Sus scrofa: one gene and its partner. The protein of the gene in region 1 purifies or fractionates together with the protein of each later gene. This does not show direct contact. Links are inferred from orthologs where the notes say so. Each region holds a gene or a part of one and is shown on either strand. Other genes may lie near its edges. The genes, in order: BCAR1 and BCAR3.

Region 1 (3,803 bases):
TCTTCCGTCCTCTTCCCTAAGCCTCCGTGTGACAGGCAGGGGAGGTGGAGCTCAGAGGGCCCGATGCTGGTGTGGAGGTGGGCCCTCCTGGGCTTGGATGAGGCCTCGCCCTCTGTCCTCTGTGCCCCACACGGAATCCAGGAGCTGAGACGCGGGCCCAGGTCCCATTTCTGAGTCAGGTCTAGACCAGGCTCTGCATCCTCAGTCCCCAGGAGACTCAGAGGAGGGTGACCAGAGCTGAGGCCTGGCTGGAGGGGCTGGAGCCCAGCTGTCCTGGCACTGTCCTTCCCCCATGTGTGAGGCCTGGGCTCCTGCCCAGTCCTGCTGAGTTCTCTGCTGCCCTCGGAGACCAAAGCTGCCCTGGCCTTCTCTCCCAGATGCCTGCTTCGCTCCTGCCCTCTGCTGGAACGACCTCGGCGGGGGCCTCTCGGGGAATCTCTGGGCCCAGCCTGAGCCCTGCACCTGTGTAAGCAGCAGGGGTGGTGGACTGAAAACACAGGGCCTCCCCGTCCTGGTTCCCTGTGGCCGGTGTGGTTCTGGGCCTGCCGGCTGGGAGTCTACCAGTGCTGGTTCCTCCTCTCTGACCCCACAGCCTCCCCCGAGGCCTGCACAGGCCGCTTGGCTACAGGGCCTCTCTCCATGGAGCGTGTGTCCCGGTTCCAGGAGGGTTTATTGACAACGGAGCCCATTAGCGGTGCCCCATAGCAGTTTTCTGGGGTGGCAGTGAGAACTACCAGGACAGTTACAGGAGTAAAGAGTGGAGCTGGGGCAAGGGGTGCTGTCCTTCTGTGGCCATCCTCGGTCCGTATGGAACCGCCGTCTCGTTTTGCTGTATTTCCCTATGTATTCCCTTTTTTTTTTTTTTATCTTTTGTCCTTTTAGGGCTGCACCCGCGGCATATGGAGGTTCCCAGGCTAGGGGTCTAATTGGACCTGTTAGCTATGCCACAGCCACAGCCACGCCAGATCCGAGCCGCGTCTGCAACCTACACCACAGCTCCCAGCAACGCCAGATCCTTAACCCACTGAGCGGGGGCCAGGGATCCAACCCGCCACCTGATGGTTCCTAGTTGGATTCCTTCCCACTGTGCCACGACGGGAACTCCCCTTCCCTTTGTATGCCTGTCTCATTCCTGTCCCTCTTCCAGGAGCACCCATGCAGTGTCATGTGTCTGGAGTCCACCCTTGGACAAGTGTCTGTGAAATATACAGAGTGTTCTGGAGATACTCATAACATACATGCAGAGTGTTTTGGGCCGTGGGTCTCCTGTTTGTGGCTGGAGCACCTCCAGATTCTAGGGGAAGCACTCTTGTCATTTGGCGGCCTGTCACCCCATCGGCTCTCTGTTCTTCCCCATCCGGCTGGAGCCGTTCCCTTTGATGAGGTCGACCCTGTCTGTCTGTTTCTGTTGTTGTTACCTTACGTTCTGTGCTTTTGTGCTCTGATTTGGGGTTATTATCTTTTTTCCCCCTCATGGTCACAGATATATTCTCCCACAAATTTTTTTTTCTTTTTTTTTCTTTTTTCTTTTTTTTTGGCCATGCCCACAGCATGTGGAAGTTCCCTGAGCCAGGGATGGAACCTGTGCCATATCAGCAACACAAGCCACTGCGGTGACAAGGCCAGATCCCTAACTTGCTGCACCACAAGAGAACTCCAGCAATTTTTTCTTTTATCAGCTCTAAAGTTGTACCTTTCACATTTAGGTCTTTAATTGCCCTTTGTTTATAACATGAGCGATGTCCAGATTGACTTTTCTTCCTGTGGCAAACAAGTTTTCCTGGTACCCGCTGGGCTGCAGTCCTGCCCTCCGCGTTGCTGCGTGGTTCCTGCAGGGCAGGGCCCTTGCTGGAGCCAGTCCCACCGCTGGTCCCTGTCCTGCTCCCGGGTTGGAGTTGTGGCCAGGCCTCACGATGGCAAGGAAGTGCCTCTTTGCATTTCATTTTCACAATTGACCTTATTTGCGGACTTCTGTTCCTCTGCTTAATTGTAGAAAGGATGCTTTATCTTTGGTCGAATTCTTAAAAAAAAAAAAAAATTCTGCTGGCATTTTTATTGCAGTTGTAACTTACTAAGTAAGCTTGGGCCAACTGGTACATTTTCTCCTCTGGGCTCTGGTGCAGTCTTTGCTTGATTAATTCTTGGATAACTTGTAGCTTTTGTTATCAAGTGACGTCTTTCCTGTGAGGTTCCTTTCTCAGCACTGCCAAGTCTTCTAGATTGTTGGGATCTTCACTAGATGACATGTGGTCTGCAGATGGTGGCCGCTGTGCCCCGTGTGTCCCTTCCCACTCTCTGGGCTTTTCCTCTCGGATGGTCCCACTGGCGAGGCAGCAGGGCCGTGGTGTCGGTGCAGGGAGGGTGTGCATCCTGTTTTCTTCCCAGAAGGAGGTGGCCGTTACTGTCATTATCGCTCTTCTCCCCAGCATCGGTCTAGCTTGTACTGTGCCTCTGGGAGTGTTGTTTAGAGTATTTTGAGGGCCGTTCTGGAGCGGTGCCGGTGGCTGCCGTTGCGAGGATTTTGAGGCACTATCCAGATCCATTTGAAAACATGCCTGGACCAGTTGGGCTTTCTGCCAGGGGCACTGGGGGCAGAGGCATGGGGATCTCACCAAAACCTACTCAGTTCCTTTCTCGGTGCCAAGGCAGGTACCTCTCCAGTCCTGCGGGGCTCCCAGCACAGTCCTCCTGCCCTCACGAGCCCTGCCTGTGTCCCCTCCCTGCAGAACGTGCTGGCCAAAGCCCTCTACGACAATGTGGCTGAGTCCCCGGATGAGCTCTCCTTCCGCAAAGGCGACATCATGACAGTGCTGGAGCGAGACACGCAGGGCCTGGACGGCTGGTGGCTCTGCTCACTGCATGGGCGCCAAGGCATCGTGCCCGGGAACCGCCTCAAGATTCTGGTGGGCATGCATGACAAGAAGCCCGTGGGGCCAGGCCCTGGCCCGCCTGCCAGCTCGGCCCCGCCCCAGCCCAGCCTCCACGCCCCGGCCGCCCAGTACACGCCCATGCTGCCTGCCGCCTACCAGCCCCAGCCCGACAGCGTCTACCTGGTGCCCACCCCCAGCAAGACTCAGCAAGGCCTCTACCAAGCTCCCGGGCCCAGCTCGCAGTTCCAGTCCCCGCCGGCCAAGCAGACATCCACGTTCTCAAAGCAGATGCCCCATCACCCATTTCCCAGCCCGGCCCCAGACCTTTACCAGGTGCCCCCGGGACCTGGCAACCCTGCCCAGGACATCTACCAGGTGCCGCCTTCCGCTGGGATGGGGCATGACATCTACCAGGTCCCCCCATCCATGGACGCACGCAGCTGGGAAGGGACGAAGGCGCCAGCCAAGGTAAGTCCTCCCTGGCATGGCCAGGCAGCCTTCCTGGCCAGTTTCATCCAGGCCCAGTCCCTGGGTGCAGCAGAGCAGAGCCAGGCACCTTTGGGCTCTCCGGGGCTCCGGCAGCGGCTGTGTGTTTGGTCTGGGGCTGGGGTGGGAGGTGAGTGTCTGGGGAACATGTGCATTTGTCTGCTGACGTGGGTGCCCACCCCACCCCCGCCCCGCCAGGGAGGCCTCCTCTTCCCCCTCTGTCTCCTCCCTTCCGGGTCTCTGTAGTCAGGCTTGTCCTGCTGCATCTCTGAGGCCAGGGCAGGCAGTGGAAGCCCTGTGGCCCCAAAAGCAGCAGGGAGCCCCGTGCTCCGGGCTGTGCACTCGAGCCCATGTTAAGGCTTTGCTTCTGTTTCCCTCTCTCCCTGCGCCCAGTGGTGTGGTTGCCTAGAGCCAGTGTCCCTGAGGGCCCAGGCCTGCCTGGTGGCC
Region 2 (3,803 bases), on another chromosome or scaffold:
AAAGAGAGGCTCAGAAAAGGCTCAGCTGCGTGGAGAACGCGAAAAGGACAAAGCCAGGGTGGCGGCTGCTGGTCCTCAATTTGGGCCCTGGGGTTTCAACGTCCACCCTCAAGAGAGAAGTGAGCAGGACGGCTGCAGGCCGGTCTGGAGCAGGTCAAAGGCTCGGGGCCCCGCCCGACCTCTGGGGGAGATCTCAGCCCCAGTGACGACTGACAGCTGGGCTGCAATGTCACTTTATGGTCTCAGAAGGTTCGTACCGTCAGAACAGGGAAATAGATGAGCTTGGAGGGCAGTGAGTAACCTAACCTGGCCCAGGAAGCAGCCTCTTTAACCACACAGCATGGGGGAGGGGGCTGAGTCACCCTCAGAGCCAGGGGGGATCCTGAGCTGGCGACACTGGGGAAGGAGGCGAAGACCCCGAGAAGAGGCACACTCAGGTGGTTTACGAAGGGCAGCAGGAAGATCTCGGCTCGCAAGGAAGGCCGGCTACCAAAACTACAAGGACCGACCCGGCGGCCTATTAACCGGCCCCTACCTCCTCCGTGTCCCCACATCCCGACCGTCTCATGTGACAGGAGAACAGAGGGGACGAGGGCCTGTCTGGAAAGCTGCTCCACCAGGAGCCCTGGGACCCGGCCAGCTGCCCTCTGCCTGGGGAGGGGACGAAGGGAGGCTGGCCTGTCACGAGCAGCCCCGGGGAGCAACCGGGCTCAGAGTCAGGAAACCCGAGTTCCGGTCCCGGCTTACAAGAAAGACGACTCGAGACAAGCCCCTTACTATCCCTGCCTCAGTTTCCTCAGCCACAGGGACGATCACGCCACCTTAGGGCGCGTCATGTGGCTTAAAAGCTAGCACGTTACATGCGCGCATCTGGATATAGTTCTACAAACCCCTCACCCTACAGCCTGCAGGTGCGGAGGCTCTGTCACTCCACATCAGCCGGCCAGATGGGGCAGGGGACGGCCTGAAGGCCACCGGGGACACCGCCGCCCTCCTCCCCCGCACCCCCCGACACCTACCAATCGGCAGGTAACTTTCCGACTGGTGGGCTTTGAGGGCCAAGGCTCTGCGGTCCTGCATGTGATCCAGGCAGGCAGGCTGGCTCCCGCTCTTCTCCTTATTTCTGAAGCAAAAGACAAGTGGGGCAGGAACATGTCATTAAACCATAAAGCCTTTAGGCAACGTCACGGAAAGTTTGAAAAAAAGAAAAAAGGTTACTCAGAACGAGAGCGCTCGGGCTGCCCTGAGAGGACCGGGATGGCTGCCGGGGAGGAAATCACTGATGGGACCATCGGGCTGGGGGCTCCCTCCCCAGGTCCCCACGGCCACCCAGTTCGGTCCTCGGCTCCCTCCTCTGAGTCCTCCTGTCCCACCGAGCAGAGCGGGGGTAAAAGCTTCATGATACACGCAGGAGACTCTGATGAACCGGAATGTGCACTTTTAACAACGCCTAAAATTACTCGCAGACCCGGGAGGGCCGACTGGGGTACCTAACAGCGTTTTGAACCGGACCTCACAGTGTCACAATTCAGGAGGACGCTGTGGGACAGTTTGCATTTCAGCACAAATCTCCGCCTCTCCCAATTAATTCCCAGCATCGCCTGGGGACGGGGGGCGGGGTGTCATACCCATCCAGGGGGACCCTGCTGGGGACCCCAGAGCCAGCCTCCTCCTGCTGAGTCAGGAAAAGGGACGGGGGGGTCACCAGGCGGCATCCAGGAGGCACAGTGCCCGGGAGAGACAGACGGTGATGACACAACCTGCCTGCACTGCTCTGGCACCTGCCGACTCCCACTGGGAATTTCTCTCATTAGCACCAAACAACAGAAGCTCCCTTTTGGTAAAAGAGAAAGCACGGCGCCCGCCGAGGGGTCGAGACCGGTCATTGGCCCTCCCACAAGCTCCTGTTACAGAAATCCCGACGTTCTTTCCTACCTTTGCAAGCGCCAAAGGCAAAAACCCAAACCCAAACCCCCGAACGCCCAGCAGCAGAGAAATTCCAGCGACACTCAGAGATAAGGCGGGGCAGAGGGCAAATTCCAAACGGCAGTGGCTTCTGCGAAGTGGGGCTTCCGCAGGGACCAGCGCCCGTGGTCAGACGCCGCTGCCCAGCTCATTGGCCTGGAATGCAGCCTGGCCGAGCGCACCGCCGCCGGGCGGGCCAGCAGCAGGCCTGACGTCAGGGAAGGTGCAGGCGGGCGGGCGGAGGGCAGGGCTCCGGGTCAGGTGCCCGTCCCCGTGGAGCCCACCTCACCCCCTCTTTTAGGTCCACTTGAAGCCTCTGCCAAGAGGTGACAAGGTTTAGGGAGCTCTGCTTGCAAAGGACAATCTGAGGGTGGCTCTCTTAGGCTTGTCTTGTGACTTAGAGAGCTCTGACTTTCTTTCCATTTCTTTCTTTTTTTTTTTTTTTTTTTTTTTTGTCTTTTTAGGGCCACACCCACGGCATAGGGAGGTTTCCATGCCAGGGGTCGAATCGGAGCTGCAGCTGCCGGCCTACACCACAGCCACAGCAACACAGGATCCGAGCTGCGTCTGCAACCTAGCCCACAGTCCACGGCAACAGTGGATCCTTAACCCACTGAGCGAGGCCAAGGATCGAGCCCGCAACCTCATGGTCCCTAGTCGGGTTCATTAACCGCTGAGCCACGACGGGAACTCCTTTCTTTCCATGTCTTATCCTTAAAAAAGTTGTATTTTAAGTCTGGGTCACTGAGGGTGGGTGGACCAGGAGGCCTTCCTTCCCAGCACTGTTCCTGGGGTGGGGAGGTGGGGCTCTGTGCTCCACCTTATCTCCCGGCTCACTGGTTCAGCAGCCAACCCCCCTCCCAAAAGCAACAGAAGAGAGGTCCCCTTAATACTTTCAGGGATCTCACTCTAACCTTCTCACTATGAAAGGGAGACTCTTTACATATCATTCTTGCCTCCCTCCCTGCAAGTGCCCCGAATCCTGTATTCTATTGCCTTCTAGAACCGGGCGTTCCCATGCGGCTCAGCAGAGACGAAGCCGACTAGTGTCCGAGAGGATTGGGTTTGATCCCTGGCCTCGCTCAGTGGGATGAGGCTCTGGCATTGCCGTGTGCTGTGGTGTAGGTCGCAGACATGGCTCAGATCTAGCATTGCTGTGGCTGTGGGGCAGGTTGGCAGTGACAGCTCCTATTCGACCCCTAGCCTAGGAACTTCCATATGCCTCAGGTGTGGCCCCAAAAAGCAAAAAAAAAAAAAAAAAAAAAAAAAAAAGTTATTAATAATAACTATTATTAGGATTACGAACACTCACCCAGCACTTCCTGTGTGCCCACACTGTTCTAAGCATTTTGCACACCTTAAACCATTTACCCTTCAAGCACCCAATTTTTGCAAAACTGAGGCCCAGAGAAGGTAAGTAGCTGGTCCAGGGTTGGCCAGGCCAGTGGTGGACCTGCCTCCAAGGCCGGGCGGCAGGTCCACAGCCGGATGCTGACTAACAGCCACCAGAGCTTCCTAGTGACACAGGACCATCATGACATTGCTCACAGAGTCCTGTGTTTTGTTCTGAATTTTTACAGTTGAGAAATGATAGTTTATGACATTTCCTCCTGCTTCAGAAAGAGGACCAGTGAGTGGAATAAAATACGTTGCATAATAAGCTCAGGTGCCGGCAGCTGGAGGAGGGGCCCTGCCCCCGGGGGCTGGGGCTGGGGCTGGTCTTGGCTCTACCACGCCTGCCTCTTGCGTGCGCCTTTCGGGCCGTGGGCTGACATGCATGCGGACTCGAGCTCCATGAGAGTCGGGTCCTGCAGGAACACGGCCCTGAGGGTGGGCGG

Evidence for each region.
Region 2: the proteins of BCAR1 (region 1) and BCAR3 purify together in Homo sapiens (co-immunoprecipitation; 4 studies listed by BioGRID and IntAct, counting the BioPlex papers as one, with this or other methods). This does not show direct contact. The link is inferred for Sus scrofa from reciprocal best matches to the Homo sapiens genes BCAR1 and BCAR3.

What each region holds. Positions count from the first base shown.
Region 1 is NC_010448.4:12,389,916-12,393,718, forward strand, and holds part of BCAR1 (breast cancer anti-estrogen resistance protein 1), read left to right. Parts: intron 1-2,726; coding exon 2,727-3,338; intron 3,339-3,803. UniProt on the Homo sapiens protein: Docking protein which plays a central coordinating role for tyrosine kinase-based signaling related to cell adhesion. Implicated in induction of cell migration and cell branching. Involved in the BCAR3-mediated inhibition of TGFB signaling.
Region 2 is NC_010446.5:123,643,060-123,646,862, reverse strand, and holds part of BCAR3 (breast cancer anti-estrogen resistance protein 3), read right to left. Parts: intron 2,426-3,803; exon of another isoform or gene 1,936-2,425; intron 1,124-1,935; coding exon 1,020-1,123; intron 1-1,019. UniProt on the Homo sapiens protein: Acts as an adapter protein downstream of several growth factor receptors to promote cell proliferation, migration, and redistribution of actin fibers.